Canis lupus familiaris: one gene and its partners. The protein of the gene in region 2 purifies or fractionates together with the protein of the main gene of each other region. This does not show direct contact. Links are inferred from orthologs where the notes say so. Each region holds a gene or a part of one and is shown on either strand. Other genes may lie near its edges.

Region 1 (5,604 bases), on a different chromosome or scaffold from region 2:
ATGTTGCTGGTAGGAATGTAAAATTGTCCAGCCACTTTGGAAAGCAACCTCAAAACAATTCCTCAGAAGGCTAAATGTATAATTACCATGTAACTCTTCACTCCACTCCTAGGTATACACACCCGAGAGAAAAAACATATCCACCCAGAAATTTGAACACAAATGTTCACAGTGACATTATTCATAAAAGCCAAAAAGTAGGAACAGCCCAGGTGTCCTTCAAGTGATGAATGGATAAACAAAATATGGTATATCCACACAATAAAATATTTAGCAATAAAAGGAAATAAAATACTGATAGATGCTGCCACACGAGTGAACGTGGAAACATTAAGTGAAAGAAGCTGATCACAACAGACCACATATTATATCATTCCATTTATATGAAATGTCTAGAAAAGGAAAATCTATAGAGATACAAAGTAGATTTAATGGTTGCCTAAAGCTAGGGTGGGGGTACTGGGAGGAAATGGCAGGTGACTGCTAATGAGTATGGGTTTATTTTGGGGGTGATGAAATGTTCTAAAATTGATTGTGGTTGGGGTGCCTGGGTGCCTCAGTCAGTAGAACATGAGACTCTTGATCTTCAAGTTATGAGTTTGAGCTCCACATGTGGTGTGGAGTTTACTTAAAATAAAACATTTTAAAATTGGTTGTGGGGATGGCTGCACAACTCTGAATATACATAAAACCACTGGACTGTGCACTTTAAGTAACTGGATTGTATGGGCAATTAGAAAATGGGCAAAAGTCATGAAGAGACATTTTATAGAAGGGGATACACAGATGGCTAATAAACACCCAAAGAGATGTTCAACATCACTAGCCAGCAGTGAAATGCAAATCGAGACTATGATAAGATATCACTACATAGCTATCAGAACAGCCAAAATAAAAGCTAATGACAAGACAACATGCTTGTGATGATAGAGTGAAACTGGATCAGTCATACATTGCTGGCAGGAACGTAAAATGGTTACAGCCACTCTGGAACATAGTTTGTGAGTTTCTCTAAAAACGAACAAAATACACCTACCGTACAACTCAGCAATTGCATTCCAGGGCGTATATCCACCCCCACACACACTGAAAACTTATGTCAACACAAAAACCTTTACACAATTGCTCACAGCAGCTTTATTTGTAATAGCCAAAAACTGGCAAGAACCAGCACGTCCCTTAGGAGGTGAACCGTTAAACTGTGTTCCATCCATACCATGGAGTGGCAATGGCACAGCACAATAGTGACACACACAACTCGGATGATTCTGACGGGCATTCCGCCGAGTAAGAAAAAGAGTCAACCTCAAAACGTCATAAACCATATGATTTCTTTTATGTAACATTCCTGAAATGACAAAATGATAGAGATGGAAAACAGATTACAGGTTGCCAGGGTCAAAGGGAAGTGGGCTTGACTACAAGGGAGAGCCTTGTGGTAAGGGAATAATTCTGGATCGTGATTGCAGTCATCGTCACATACATCTAGACATGTGATAAAAGGACTCGGAACTGTACACACACACTGTACTAATGCCACACTCCTCGTTTTGATACGCTACCATAATTGCATAAGATATGGGCAAACTGGACCTCTCTATTCAACCCATGCGATTTCCTGTGAACCTATAATTATTTCAAAATAAAAAGTTCTATTTTTGCAACTTCCCATGATTCTATAAGTATTTCAAAATAAAAAGTTATAATCCCCGGCAATCTCAATTGCTGGTGGGAAGGGTCCTGAAGGTCTCTGACAGGAGACCCACTGGGGACTGAAATCCCTGATAGCCACCTAGAAGGAGCACCTGTGGCCTCTGCTGGCATAACTCCAGGCATTGCTCACAGTAACAAGAGGAAACTGGGCAGCAAGCTGATGGACATGCCTTGCTGTCTGGTGGCCAAGGCCTATGGAGAAGGCCAGGGTGGAAGCACGACTCCGTGACATGGTGCCCTTACTCTTCCTTCCATCTTTTCCTCCAAAGAGGTAGATGGCCTCCATTTTGGGTGATCAAGTGTTCTAAATACTTTCTGTAACAGATGATTCTTTCCTGTTGATGAGTCTTCCTGTAACTGACAGTTCTTCCTGTAATTGACATCAGGTGGTATGGTGGGTGACCACCGTTTTGGGTGACTCCCCCTCCAACCCTCCAGGGAAGCAGTGGAGCTAGGCAACTAGGTGCCACTGTGAGCCCTGGCTATCACCCCCCACCTGACCATGTGCCCCAGGACTATAAGGTGAGGATAGTGATAGGGCCTTCCTCACAAGGTTAGGGCAGCCACACGTGTGATGCACTTAGCTGCATATGCAGCTGACGACAAGCATGTGGCAAACAGACCTGATTCAAATCCTAGTCCTACCAATTGTCAGTGGTGACGTCCCTCAGATTCCCTTCTTTTTTTTTTTCTTTTTAAAGATTTTATGTATTTATTTGATGGAGAAAGAGCACAAGCAGGGGGAGTGGCAGACAGAGGGTGAGGGAGAAGCAGGATCCTTGCTGAGCAGAGAGCCCAAAGTGGGGCTCCAGCTCAGGATCCTGGGATCATGATCTGAGCCGAAGGCAGATGGTTAACCGACTGAGCCACCCAGGCGGCTCCTGAGTTTCCCTTCTGAGGGAGCTGATGATATTGGATATTGGCAGCACCGACCTCATGGGCGGCCTGTGAGAAATCACGAGCACAGCAAGCACTTTGCACGATGGCTGTCATGGAATGAGCGCTCTGCAAAAGTGAGCTGTTATTGTTAGGGATATTGTCACTTGCTGTGCTTGACTCCATGATGACACTGAGTCACACACCTCTGGCTACTCAGCCCTACCCTGGGCTTGACAGAGAGACCCTATGGTTTCCCTCCCATTCCCCGGGGAAGGTATTCCAGACACACCAGACTGGGAGTGGGCCTTCTGCCTGTCTCCTCCTGTCCTGGGAGCAGGCCAGAGTCAAGAGCCAGGAGGGTGGGGAAGAAAGACACTTGGCTACTCCTGAGCAGTGCTGAGTGTCCCCAAGCCTGGCCCAGGGGAGGAGGCTTTGGAGTAGCCCTCTCTGGCCTGGAGACTTTTCATCAATGAGGATAACAGAGCCGCCTGGCACAGGCACTGTCCACAGGACAGGATTGGGGGCCACCAGGGTTGGCTTGTCTCAGCCAGGAGGGACCCGGGAGGTTGGCGGGAGAAGAGGGAAAAGGAGACCCACGTTGCCATGACCCTGGCCTGGTGCCCAGGTGTCCTCCTTCCTACATGGGGTGGCCTGTCCGTGCTCACCTCTACTCTAGCCCAACCAGCCGTCATCTCATGCATCTGTTCCCGTCTCTCCGAGCCACCGTGCCATGGGTTCTGAGTCTTCCTCAGCTTGTAATTTCCCAAGGGAGGGGTGCCATCAACTTTTTCCTGTTGACGTGGTCAGTGTAGATGGAACACACTTGTGTTCTCCTCAAACCCGTTCCTTCCACCGTCTTCGACAGCTGAGGAAGTGGCTATCTTGGATTCCTGTTTCCCTCCCCTCCAGCTTTCTCAAAGCTCCACCAATTCTTCTTACAAAAGAGGTCCTGACCTGTCCCCTCTCGCCATCTCCACTTCCTCTCACTTGGCCTCCTGAGCCCTCTGCCTGCATCTGCTGACCAGCTGTGCTCATTTTCCGCACAGCTGTCAGCGGGGTCTTAGAAACCTCAGCCCCTCCTTAACATTCCTCTGTGTATAATCCTCCAGCAACAACCCAATCTGCCCGAGTGAAAGCCTGAGTCCTAACCGTGGCCTCTAGGGCCTTCGGTGACGAGGCTCCCTTGGGCAGCTGCTCCGGCTCTCCAGCCCCCTCCAGGCAAGCTGGTCTCCTTCTCGCTCCTGAACATAACAAGTACATTCCCACCATGGGCCTTTGTGCCTGATCTTCGCTTTTCCCTGGATCTCCATTCCCCAGAAATGGACAGAATTCTCTCTCTTGCTTCCTTCCTCTCTCTACTCAAATGACCTCTTTCTAGAACAGCAGCCTGGCCCTGCACATTCCATCCTGCCCTGCTTAATTTCCTTCTTAGCATGCTCACTATCTGACCAACACTTGTTTATCTGATTGCCATCCATCCGTTCCACAGAATGTCAGCTCCACGAGGTCGGAGAGTGTTTCTTCTCGGTCACTATGATACCCCTAGAGCCCAGCATAGGCATGTCACATAGTAGGTGCTCAGTAAACATGTGTCGATGGAACAGATGAATTCTGGGAGAGTCCAGGACGAGGGGTGGAGCATGATATCCTGAATTTTGGTCCTCCTTGTGTGTCGTCACTGACTGTGAGTCCCTCCTACGAGATGGCCTTTGCATCAGATCACTTCATTCTTCCTAAACTTTAGAGGTTTGCCTATGACCTTCGAGACTTTCATCCTGTAAACCTTTATTTCCTACATCTCTTTAAATCATTCACTTGATTGATTTTTGTTTTTAACTTAGCTTCCTCCTAAGCTTGTATTTAAAAAAAATAAATCACCCGTTTGGTATGCCGGCTTCTCTTTGTTCTGATCATGCTAATATGTTAATACATATTAACACAAAAGTTGCTGTCCATTCCTCCTGGGATCCCCTGGCTCATCAGCATGGTGCTTGGGTAGCCCTCTGGACAGCACAGGGTTACTCAGTCCCTCATTATTGACAGTGCTCTGCTCCTCAGGGCGAAGTCCTTCGGGGCATTCCTCCCAGGCCAGACCTGCTGGAGCCAGGGTCTGTTGTCAGAGCACAGGTGTGTCAGGGCGGGGTCCATGCTCGTGTGCAGGAGATCCGGTGGGGATGGCCCCTGGAGCTGCTGTGAAGCCGCTGCCGTTCTCTGCCCCGTCCCTGACCACTCTCCGGCCTTATTTTCAGCCCCTGGGATTTTGCCAAACATCTTCCCACTTGGGGCCTTCACATACAGTGTCCTTGTGGGACTTTCCTGTCATTGGGACACCTCCCTGGGCTCCTGAGATCCCAACACACACTTCCATTCTGTGCTCTAAAAGCCCCCCTTGCACGTCTCTCAGGAGCAGGTGCCACAGGTGACAAGGGTCCCTTGGGCAGCTGTCAGCAAGTCAGGCATTATGCATGAGGTCATTTGGTCAATGTCCTCTTCTCTACAAGACTGAGAGAGCCCCACGAGGAAGGGGCTCGGGCAGGCATCGGGTGTCAGTCCCCTCCCCGCCGCTCACAGCCCCACTACCACCCTCAGCCCCACTACCACCCACAGCCCTGCCCTGCTCCTGCACGTGGACTTCCCATTCCCATTCCGGCCTCATCACCTTCTCTCTCAACATGGTTTGGTTAGTCCTGCCTCTTGGTCTTGACTGTGGTCTCTGTGGTATCCTCTGCCTTCATCAAAAACTAGGGGAGAACAGCCCTGTTCAGGAGCCACACCCAAATGGCAGCTCTATTCTCAGTGCTCTCTTAACCCCATTTGGCCCTTGAGCCCCTGTTGCTTCTCACCAAGATGACGGAGCGCACAGTAGTGAGAGCTCTGGGCCCTGGGTGCAAGTCGGGGCTGCACAGTTACCAGCGGGGGGGACCTCAAGGAAGTGACTTGACCTCTGTGTCTCAGCACTTCTAGGTTCACAAACGTCAATGCGCCAGAATCACCTGGAGGAGTCATCAAAAC
Region 2 (5,541 bases):
CTCACATCCCGCCATCCACCCTCCTCCCCACCATCCACCATCCTCCCTCCTTGGAAACCTTCACCCCCCTTCCCCTGCAGATCCTCCACCCCTGCCTTCCCACAGTGCTCTAAGAGCCTCCTGGCTTCTGAGACAAGAATGGCCTGTGAGCATAGGAAGGGTCTAATCCAGGGGCTGGTGAGCTCTTGGCTGACCCAGGCCTGTCTTGTTTCCTCCCAGTTGACCACACCCGAGTGATCCTGCAGGGACGTGACAGTAACATCCCTGGGTCCGACTACATCAACGCCAACTACGTCAAGGTTGGTGGCACCCACTTGTCAAGGGAGGAGAAGCCGGGCCCTGGGGATTCCCCGTCTCTGGGCGGGTGCTAGATCCAGAGACATGTAGGCAAGGCTGAAGCCGGCCAGTTAGCAGGTGAGTGGGGGGAGGGTGCAGGGACTCACAGTCCTGGGGTGCAGCTCTCTACACTTGCTTCCAGAACGAGCTGTTAGGCCCCGATGAGAACACTAAGACCTACATCGCCAGCCAGGGCTGCCTGGAGGCCACAGTCAATGACTTCTGGCAAATGGCATGGCAGGAGAACACCCGCGTCATCGTCATGACCACCCGGGAGGTGGAGAAAGGCCGGGTAAGGCCGAGTCCTATACTGTCCCCTGGTCCCCACCTCCAACCCCTCCCCAGTGCTTGCTCTCCACCACCATTAAACCAGAGAAACTCCAGATACCAGGGCAGGAAGGAACCTCAGAGGGCAAGGTCCAACCCTTGTTGGGAAACTGAGGCACAGAGACACTCTTGGGGATATACTATCTCCCAGATCCCTTCTTCCAACCTGGGGCTCTCCTGACCACCAGACTCAGGTTTTATTTGTTTATTTTTATTTTAAAAAATATTTTATTTATTTATTCATTAGAGATACACAGAGAGAGGCAGAGACACAGGCAGAGGGAGCAGCAGGCTCTCTGTGGGGAGCCAGATGTGGGACTCGATCCCAGGACCCTGGGATCAGGCCCTGAGTGGAAGGCAGACGCTTAACCGCTGAGTCACCCAGGCATCCCTATTTTTATTTTTTTAAGATTTCATTTATTCATTAGAGAGAGAAAAAGCACATGAGTGTGTGTGTGTGTGTGTGTAGGGGGGGGAGTGCAGAAGGAGAGGGAGAAACAGATACCCCACTGAGCAGGGAACCCCATGTGATATGGGGCTCCATCCCAGGATCCTGAGATCAGGACCTGAGCTGAAGTCAGACGCTCAACTGACTGAGCCACACAGGCACCCCCAGACCCAGGTTTTATTTTTTTTATTTTTTTTTATTTTTTTATTTTTTTTATTTATTATTTATGATAGTCACAGAGAGAGAGAGGCAGAGACACAGGCAGAGGGAGAAGCAGGCTCCATGCACTGGGAGCCCGACGTGGGATTCGATCCTGGATCTCCAGGATCGTGCCCTGGGCCAAAGGCAGGCGCCAAACCACTGCGCCACCCAGGGATCCCTTTTTTTTTTTTTTAAATTTTTATTTATTTATGATAATCACAGAGAGAGAGAGAGAGAGAGAGAGAGAGAGAGAGAGAGGCAGAGTCACAGGCAGAGGGAGAAGCAGGCTCCATGCACCGGGAGCCTGACGTGGGATTCGATCCCGGGTCCCCAGGATCGCGCCCTGGGCCAAAGGCAGGCGCCAAACCGCTGCGCCACCCAGGGATCCCTAGACCCAGGTTTTAAATGGGCTTTCTTCCTTAAAGTGTCCCTTGCCAGAAGCAACCTGCCTCCTGTCCTCTCTGCCTCATAACTCTCTCTGGAGTCTGCCCCTCACCCTCACCCTCACCCCACTGCCCAGCTGGCCTCCCTCCCTGTGGGCTGCCCCCTCCTCCCACATGTCTGCACAGAAGTCAGAGGGGTCCCTCTTAGAGCATGCACTGCATCAAGATGCTCCCTGGCTCCCTGGGAATTTTTCGGTGGCTCCCAGTTGTCTTCCGGATAAAGTCACACTCTAAGACCTGGCACTCAAGGCATGGTGGCTTCCCTACAACGTTCCGCCCTGCCTCAGGTTCTCACGCCTTGGCACAAGCTTGCTTTCTGCTAGGAAAGGACTTCCTCTCTCTGTACTATCTCTGCTGGACAGACTCCTCATTTTTGAAGACCCTGCTCAAATGCTCCCTCCTCTGTGAAGCCACCTCTGATTTCCTCCATAATCTAGAGGGAGGGTTACCCTCTCCCTCTGTACCCTGTGCCCCTGAGTGGCTCTGTTTTCCCTGCTCTGCTGTCTCTCTGTGAATACATAGAGACATAGAGGCCCAGATTGCTTTGTAGTTATGTTTGGGACTCCAGCATGGTCTGTACAACTTCAGATACGTTGTGTGCCCCAGCCGGTGTTTACTGAATGAATTGTAAGGCCAAGTGGCTCAGTCAGGCCTCACCACCTGCTGGTGGCCAGCAGGACCAGATCCCCCCTCTGACTCTTGGCCAGCATCTCCATTCATCCAGCAAATGTTAACTGGGCCAGCACCAGGGACTCAGGATCTCAAAAGGGGCCTGGAACATGCCCCCATACATTCTGTGCCTCATTTCTCACTGCCACCCTCCCTTTGCAGAACAAGTGTGTCCCGTATTGGCCAGAGGTGGGCACTCAGCGTGCGTATGGACCCTACGTAGTTACCAACTGCAGGGAACATGACGCTGCAGAGTACAAACTCCGTACTTTACAGGTCTCCCCACTGGAAAATGTGAGTATTCTCCACTCCTGCCTCACTCCTGGGGCCCTTCCTTGGATCTGTTGTTTTGTCTGGTTGGGTGGGATGGGGAGATGTGTGGGAACAGAGGGCACTGGCCCTATGCGCTCTGCCCAGGAGGACCTGGTTCGGGAGATCTGGCACTACCAGTACCTGAGCTGGCCTGACCATGGGGTTCCCAGTGAGCCTGGAGGTGTCCTCAGCTTCCTGGACCAGATCAACCAACGGCAGGAAAGTCTGCCTCATGCAGGCCCCATCATTGTGCATTGCAGGTGAGAACAATAATGATGTGAGTAGTAGTAATAAAAATAAAAGAGAGGTCCTGAGATCAGGACCTGAGCTGAAGTCAGATGCTCAACTGACTGAGCCACCCAGGCACCCCCAGACCCAGATTTTATTTTATTTATTTATTATTTATTTATATTTTATGATAGTCAGAGAGAGAGAGAGAGAGAGAGAGAGAGAGAGAGGCAGAGACATAGGCAGAGGGAGAAGCAGGCTCCATGCACCGGGAGCCCGACGTGGGATTCGATCCCGAGTCTCCAGGATCGCGCCCTGGGCCAAAGGCAGGCGCCAAACCGCTGCGCCACCCAGGGATCCCCAGACCCAGGTTTTAAATGGGCTTTCTTCCTTAAAGTGTCTCTTGCCACCGAGGCAAGATAAAAAACAAAAAACAAAAAACAAAACAAAACAACTTTTATTTTTTTTCAATAAAAATAAAAGTAGTAGCTGGCTAGTAAATACTGCTAACTCAGTGCCCTGGAAGCACTAATTTACATGTTAACGCATTAAATGCCTCCGCCTGCTCATGGCCTCATCCGGGCTCCTTGATGGTTCCAGATCCAAGGCGGAAGCGTAGCTTGAGCTAACCCCACTGATTGATCCTGTGCCTGAGGGGTGGCTTCTTTAGAGACTTCCCTGTACGTACCATCTCACCCAACCCTGCCAAATACCCATGAGGAAATAGGCCCAGCGACTTGCCAGCTGGCCAGCGGGAAAGTGCACTGACGCTCACCACACACCTAGGCTCTGGTCGCTCCTGTTGTCTCTCACGGGCTTCCTCAGCCTGTATTTCTTCTTGGGCCCTGCCACCTTCTATCTGGGGTCGGTGTGGCTCTCCATTTTTTCTTTTTTCTATCCATAGCCCCAGGGATGCTTAGCCTTCCTCTTTCTCCCCCTTCCCAGCTAGTGACCCCAGCTTGGCCTCCAGGTTGTGTGGGGATGGGTGATGTCTTCCAAAGGGGCACATGTATCTCTAGGTCACTGGAGGACCTCGTGTTCATGATCAGGAGACCCTGTTCCTGCTAGGCAGCAAGGGGGGTGCGGTCAGCAAGGAGGAGTGAGGGGCAGAGTCCTCACTGACCTGGCCTGGGTCCGTGGGGGGCCGTGGGTGCAGGTTCCTGGACAGACACCGTAGATTAAAATTCTGGCTCTTCTACTCACTGGCTGTGTGTGTGATCTCAGACAAATTACTTCACTTCTCTGACCCTTAGATTCCTCATTTGTCACTGCAGGCTCTCCTGTGGTTGATGTGAGGATTCAATAAGCCCCCGTCCCTGTGTCTGGAACGTAGTAATCCCTCAAGAAATGGGAGCCGTTGCTGGTTTAATAACTCCCATTAGGCTGGGAATGGGGAAATGGGAGCCTGCTTCATCTGCTTCCCTTCCTACTCCCTTCAAGTGACCCCAGGCTGGGGCCTCACATGTCTTCCTTCTTCCCACCAGCAACTTTTGCCCTGGGGCAGGGCTGGGTGGGCTGAATCTGGGGGTGCCCCTCACATGTCATCTCAGGGACTCTGCCTCTGGGGGCCGGCCCATTGCTAAGTACGACCCTCCTGTTACTCCCCTTCCACTTCTTGAAATCCCCATGGCCTTTATTTAGATGTTACAGGAAGGAAGTGGGTAAGGGGGGGTTATTTTTGACAATCTGGGTTTGAAATTAGTGCAACTCAGGCCACTAGCCTGGCGGCCCCGCGAAGCAGACAGAACTGGGGTCTCTGAGGGATCCTGAGTTTCCTGGGATCTGTTTGCTCTAGGATGCTGGTGGAGGGTGGGGAAAGAAGGGAGACCTCACACTTCACACAGCATCTCCGCATCATCTCCTGACCCCAGTGACCTTTCTGCCCTGCTGCCTCAAGGGCTGCCCTTTCCTGGTCTTCAGGGTCTGAAAAAAACGGGAAACAAAGTCCTCTCGAAAGAAGATCTAAATAAAACTTTTGAAGAGTGCGAGGTGGGGCTGGGGTGTGCAGTGGCGGGGAAGCCTCATTCAAGCCAAGGGTGCGGGAGAGGGTCAGGGGAGGCCCAGAGTGCCAGAGTGGGTGGGGGGAGGGACCCTGGTGGGCTGAAGAGCAGCCCCCAGCCAGCAATGAGGAGGCAGAGCAGGAAGTGGAAGGGTGAGATGCTGGAAAGAAGGAAGGCCAGGCGGGGCGGCCCTGGGAGAACTGGGCCCACCCACAAATCCCTTGGCTGAAGTGTTGAGTGCAAGTGCCCGGAACTCAGGGTCCGGCAGGCTTCTGCCTCTGGTTAGGCTGCCCAGTGACCCCGGGCACGTTACCTCATCTCGCCGGAGCCTCAGTTTCATCCTGCCACCGTGCTGGAGTTGAACGCTGGGGCTCTCCCTTCCTGGTGAGGCATGGCCGGGGCCTCTGATGGTGCCCCCTTCCCTCCCCAGTGCAGGCATCGGCCGCACAGGAACCATCATTGTCATCGACATGCTCATGGAGAGCATCTCCACCAAAGGTGAGGGTGACCCATGGGCGATGCAGGTGTTGGGGGTGTTGGGTGAGCGGCCCCTCAGTGTCCTCCTCTGCCTGGGCCT
Region 3 (5,641 bases), on a different chromosome or scaffold from region 2:
TTTTCTTTTGGTTTTATTTATTATTTTTGAGCACATACTGAAAACTTGGTTTGGCATTTTATCTGCTATCCAGGCCATGTTCACTTGTGTATTGGTTCTGAAAACAAGGGCGTTATCTACAGTTTACTGAATTTCTGCAAATACTCCTGCAACAGATCTACATAGGTGCTGCCCTGGCCCCCGTACCCCACTCCAAGTACCCTGACTGACCCTGCACCCCTGCCCCCAGCTGCTCTATAGGCTCCCACTCAGTCTCACAGGCCCCTGAGGCCCCCAGGGAGCCACCAACACGCACCATGGTCTGTTCTCTGGAGGAAGCCCTGATAGGATGACTGGGGGAGGGGACCCGGTTGTTGGAAACTTTAATTAAGCAAGGACGGTTAACAGCTGCAGGGTCACCTTAGGAAATGGTGAGCCTGAGAAAATAAATACATCTATCATCTGTCCCCATGGCCTTTTAAGACTTTTCTACAAACGGCTCATCATTCCTTGCCATGGAAAAAGATAACAGCCATCATGGGCACCCTTCAGCCCCCAGAATTCTCTGAGCTTCATCCTCCCAGCAGGTCTTGCCATAGATTCTCACCTCACACACACACACCTCCACAGATGGCCAAATCCAAGGATGCATGCTCACACGTGCACACTCACACACATGTACACCTGCCTATTCTCAGGTGACAACTGTACTTTTCTACTGCACTAGATCCTTTTTCTGGGAAGGCTGGGTGGTGCTGTCGAGCAGAGCTCTCAGGAGCCCCACGGGGCCCTGATGGCACCCCTCTACACACCACTAGTCCTACACCACAGCTGCTAGCATGTGGTGAGGACCTCTTTCTCCTTCCTTCTTCCTCCCCACAGGTGCAATGTGTGAAGAGGTTCTGCGGGGGCAGATGCCACCCACAGCAAGGGGGTTTTTTTCCCACCTACGTATCATGTCTTGTCTCAGCCTCTTTCCACCGGTGGAAGCAAGCCCTTCTGGAGTCATAGCTTGGTAAGAGAATGTTAGGGAGCACCTCTGAACCACTGCTCAACAGTCCTCCCTCCTCCTCCCTTCTGTCAGCCAGGCCTTCACCAGCCACGAGGGCCTCCTAGCCCTGACTCTTCTCCCACAAATACCCCCTTTGCCCTCGGGGCTGGGTGTAAGGGCACAATGTTAAGGCTTTATAAGGAAAGAACTTTACTAGGAAAGTAAAAAAAAGAAAACAACCAAATCCAGACCAAGAAAATATCAAAGCCTCAAATCCAGTGTCTGTGTGCTCAGCACCCAGCCCTGTTGTTTCCTTGCCTCCATTCTGTCTAAGCAGCTGCTGCCCTCTCATCCCCACCCAACTCCTTTGTTCACCTGCCCCCCGGGTCCCCACAAGGGTGCATAAGGGGTCAGTGCTGCAGGCTTTTCCAAAGGTGCATGAGCTAGGGGCTGTCCCTCATCCTTACCCCCAGCCCGGGCCTATCCCCAAGCCTGTGCCTCCTGGACTCAGCTCACTGCATCTAGCTCAGATGTTGGGACACAGGATGCCCTGAGTCCAGCATGGGGTAGGATGGGATGAGGAAGGGACTGACTGGCCAACGGTGTGATGGGTAGGGAACAAGGGTGGACAAGGCCAGGGAAAGGCTGTGAAGAGGGAATCTAGGGGAGTTTGTAGAAGAGAAACTGTGTGGTCCTAGCTCCTCTGCATCCTCCAAAGGCCTGCCACATTCTCAGGAAGGGCTTTGGAGTGAGAGCCTCCCTATGTGTGAGATCCTTAGCATCTGCAGGACAACAGCAGGAGTGGGAGGGTCTCCCCCCGCCCACCAGCCTCCAAACTGATAGGGAAATGAGCTCCACCAAATCGAGGGCCCCTTTCTGGGAACCCATACCTGCTGGGAACCCCAGGATGATGAGGAGCAAGGGCTCCACACTAGGACCCCTCCAATATGATGTGGAGGCTGGAGCTCCACTCTGCAGCAATGACTGGGGAGATCCTCTGGGTTTAGTCAGGCACCAAAGAGCTCTGACAACACATAGATAAGCCCATGGACAGAGCAGCATAGGGCAAATCAGGGTAGATGACCAGGAGGACAAGTATTTAGAGCCCAGCGCTGCCAAAGCGGGTCTGGGGTGCATGAAGGGGGAGCACAGGCAGGACACAGGGATGGGCCTGAATAGTGATCCAGTGACACCTCCATGCTGCAACCCCATGTTCTGGACTTCAGTTTCCCATCCCCTGTCCCTCTGGCAGAGGCTCAAGGATGCCATATGCTTCATTGAACCCATCTGTGTCTGACACTTGCTGACATCTTCCTCTTTTGCAACTGGAAGTCAGAGGGTAAAGCACTAAGCTGTGCAGTCACAGAAGGAAGACAGAGCCTCCGAGTGTGAAGGGACAGAGGGGAGAGTGGGAAGCTCTGGGGCTGGTGGAAGAAAGGGTAGACGGGTGGGAGCCGGGTTGCTCAGGGCAATGGCTGAGGCCATCACCTATGCAGACCTGCGGTTCGTGAAGGCTCCCCTGAAGAAAAGCATCTCCAGCCAGTTAGGACAGGGTAAGGGTGGGCAAGGCATCTCCTTGATTCCGCATCCCCAGGCTCCCTCATGACCCCACCCTCACCTCCACCATTTCTCTCTTCAGACCCAGGGACTGATGAGGATGAGGAGCTTACCTATGAGAATGTACAAGTGTCCTCAGTCTCAGGTGGGCCCTTGAGTTTGGCTTCTTCTGGAGTAGGAGACAAAGCAGGTACGGAGAGCCCAGAGAATGTGTGTGTGACCGGGCGGGCTGTGTGAGCGTGTGTCTGTGTCTTGAGCTGGGAGTCCAGGTATCCTTGGGGTGGGGGTGGGGGGGCGGCACAATATCCCTGGGAAAGGAGGGGGTGCTTAGGAGAGAGAAGAATGACCCGTGGATAAATGGGAGCCAGGGAAGAATAAAGAGCCCAGGGCCAAGGTGGAGATCCCAAAGGGGTGACAGGGGCTGCGGGGAGAGATTGGGGCAGCCCCTGTGAGGAGATGAATTCGGATGGGAAACGGGAAGTCACGGGACAGAGAAAGGGTAGGGGAGAGGGATGAGAGCACTTCTGGGGAGACGGTTGGGAAACGCGGATGCGGGCAGTGCTGAAAGAAACCTAAGGGGAGACCCAGGAGGGAAAGGAGGGGGTCCCGGGAGAGCGGATGCAGTAAGACCCAGGAGAGACAGGAGTCCTGGGGGAGATGCGGGACTCCGGAGAGTGCTAAGGGTGTCCCCGAGCATCACAGACGTCGCCGAAGGCGTCCGGGACCGGACTGGGGACGGGGCGGGGGGGGGGGGGGGGCGCCGGGGAAGGGGAGAGGGGGAGCTGGTGGGAAGAAGGGGAATTTCCCGGGGCTTCCCGACTTCGAACTCAAGTCGCCGCGGGTCCGCAGGGCTCCAGGCAGAGCAGCCAACTGCGTCCTGGGGCTCCGTGACGTCACCGGCTGCCGGGCGGCTCCTCGCGGGTGAGTCGCGGGCCCTCCCCGCCGGCGCGCGCCCCCGGCTGCAGGGCGGGGCAGCGCAGGGGGGCGGCGAGGGTCGCGCGGCGGGGGGGCTGGCCTGGGCCGGTGCCGGGCCCGGCGGTGCGCGGGTCGGCTCCCGGGAGTGAGCTCGGGGAGCAGCGCTCTGGGCGCGGCGGGCAGCCCCGAGGCCCCCTCCCCGCCCCTTCACCCCCATACCCGTGTGTATCATTCCCCCAGGTTGACCCAGATCTTCCCTCCTCCCCCTTTACGGTGTCCCCGTGCACATACCCCCTGTCCTCTGTCCCCGTCTGGGATTTGTTCCCATCCCACCAGGTATCGCTCCTCAATCCTTACCAGTAACGATTCCAGCCCTTATTCTGGAACACCTTCCTTCCGCTACCTGCGGAAACTCACGACCCGACGAACCCCACCATACCAGCACCAGTCCTCTGAGGGATACTCTTTCCCGTGAATATCCCCACTCACCCAGCCCCGCAGCCTACAAACTTTCCTGGGGCTCTCTGCCCTTCATCCCACTGTCTCCCTAAGGCCGTGCAGCCTGTATGCAGTACCTCTTTCTTGGCCTGCTCCTCACCTGCCTGCTGTTGGGGGTGGCCACCATCTGCCTGGGAGTGCACTGTGAGTATGACTGTCCCCCACTGCCCATGTACCCTGAGCAATATTCTCCCCTACTCTCCCCAACAGCTGCCCTTCCTCTGGGCAGGGCCCAGTCACTACCACTACATGCTTAGCTTTTTGTCTGGTTTCCAGCCAGGTCTGTTTTAGAGTGCCATGTCTTCCTAAATTGTCCTTACCTAACCCAGTACCTCCTTAAGCTTTAGGCAGTCAGATCTTACATTTCAGCCTGTTATGCAAAAATTTGCAAGAAGCAGAAAAACGGGGATCCCTGGGTTACTCAGCGGTTTGGTGCCTGCCTTTGGCCCAGGGCGCGATCCTGGAGTCCTGGGATCGAGTCCTGCCTCGGGCTCCCGGCGTGGAGCCTGCTTCTCCCTCCTCCTGTGTCTCTGCCTCTCTCTCAATCTCTGTGTCTATCATGAATAAATAAATAAATAAATCTTTAAAAAAAAAAAAAGAAGCAGAAAAAGGACTGACGCTGAAGAGTCAGGGTACCAGGGCATAGCTGAAGAAGATGTTCTTCAAATCTCTCATTATGGCCGAACAGATCTGCAGGTTTCTCAGCAGCTCCAGCAGACCAACAGGGTTCTGGAAACCACTAACAGCAGCCTAAGGCAGCAGCTCCACCTGAAGATAACCCAGTTGGGGAAGAGGGAAGAGGATCTACAGGGGTCCAGGAGGGAACTAGCCCAGAGTCAGGAAGCACTACAGGAGGAACAGAGGGTTTGCCAGGCCACCCAAGAGCAGTTACAGGCCTGCCAGTCTGAGAGGGAGAAGACAAAGGAGGCCTTGCAAAGTGAGGAGGAGCAAAGGAAGACCTTGGAGCAGAGGCTGAGCAGCTTTCAGGACACACTGAAGCTCTTATTCAGATGCCCCTTATCAGGTATCTGCTCCGGGAGAGGAGAGATGGGAGGGTCTGCTGTGAGGGATGGATTGAAGTGAAGAGACACTCCTGGCAGGGGTCTATCTGGCAGGGAGCCATTGGGTTGTTGAGGAAAGGGATAGCAAATGAGAGTGGTGGCCAACAGAGAGGAGGATCAAGGTGCATTCCAGATTTAGGGTGACTCACCTAACTCTAAGGCAGATCCTGCAGGAGGGAGGAGGGTGGCAGCCAACAATGCAGATCACACTGTCCAAAGCACCAAACTCAGGTCTCCCATGGCTTGATATCAGTGTCAAAGATCTGAGAAGCCCCTGAATTGGGTTGTGAAATTGGTTGTTTACACATTTTTCTAAAAAGAGGGTCTGTAGCTTTAATTATTTCTCGCTACATCTGAGATTCCCCAGGGGTTAAAAATTACTGATTGATGAAGTGCAGGCTGGTGGTGGGGCAAGGTAGCTAAAGCTCTCAAGCGTGGGTAGCACTCAGGATGAGGTGGGTGGGGGTAATGTGGGGTAGGGAGCTGGGGTGGAGAGTTCATCTATTTTGAAGGCAGGAGCCCAGGCAGTATGTGTGTGTGTGTGTGGGGGGGGGGGGGGATGAGGGAGGAGGCCGCATAAAAGGGGAGAGGCTGGGCAAGAAGCAGGCTGAGGTTTGAGGCAGGGAACCGGGCCCTAGGT

What was found. Proteins that work in one complex are often made in the same cells at the same time.
Region 1: the proteins of PTPN6 (region 2) and CD22 purify together in Homo sapiens (affinity purification with western blotting; 5 studies listed by BioGRID and IntAct, with this or other methods). This does not show direct contact. The link is inferred for Canis lupus familiaris from reciprocal best matches to the Homo sapiens genes PTPN6 and CD22.
Region 3: the proteins of PTPN6 (region 2) and CD72 purify together in Homo sapiens (affinity purification with western blotting; 3 studies listed by BioGRID). This does not show direct contact. The link is inferred for Canis lupus familiaris from reciprocal best matches to the Homo sapiens genes PTPN6 and CD72.

The regions. Positions count from the first base shown.
Region 1 is NC_049222.1:118,125,558-118,131,161, forward strand, and holds the start of CD22 (B-cell receptor CD22), read right to left. Parts: upstream 3,472-5,604; 5' UTR 3,294-3,471; coding exon 3,258-3,293; intron 1-3,257. UniProt on the Homo sapiens protein: Most highly expressed siglec (sialic acid-binding immunoglobulin-like lectin) on B-cells that plays a role in various aspects of B-cell biology including differentiation, antigen presentation, and trafficking to bone marrow.
Region 2 is NC_049248.1:8,003,707-8,009,247, forward strand, and holds part of PTPN6 (tyrosine-protein phosphatase non-receptor type 6), read left to right. Parts: intron 1-219; coding exon 220-299; intron 300-478; coding exon 479-628; intron 629-2,586; coding exon 2,587-2,718; intron 2,719-2,841; coding exon 2,842-2,996; intron 2,997-5,394; coding exon 5,395-5,462; intron 5,463-5,541. UniProt on the Homo sapiens protein: Tyrosine phosphatase enzyme that plays important roles in controlling immune signaling pathways and fundamental physiological processes such as hematopoiesis.
Region 3 is NC_049232.1:52,470,670-52,476,310, reverse strand, and holds the start of CD72 (B-cell differentiation antigen CD72), read left to right. Parts: upstream 1-2,291; 5' UTR 2,292-2,441; coding exon 2,442-2,523; intron 2,524-2,609; coding exon 2,610-2,717; intron 2,718-3,376; coding exon 3,377-3,448; intron 3,449-3,994; coding exon 3,995-4,084; intron 4,085-4,628; coding exon 4,629-4,964; intron 4,965-5,641. UniProt on the Homo sapiens protein: Co-receptor of B cell receptor (BCR) that plays both positive and negative roles on B-cell functions. Recognizes the Sm/ribonucleoprotein (RNP) self-antigen ligand, and coligation of CD72 and BCR inhibits BCR signaling.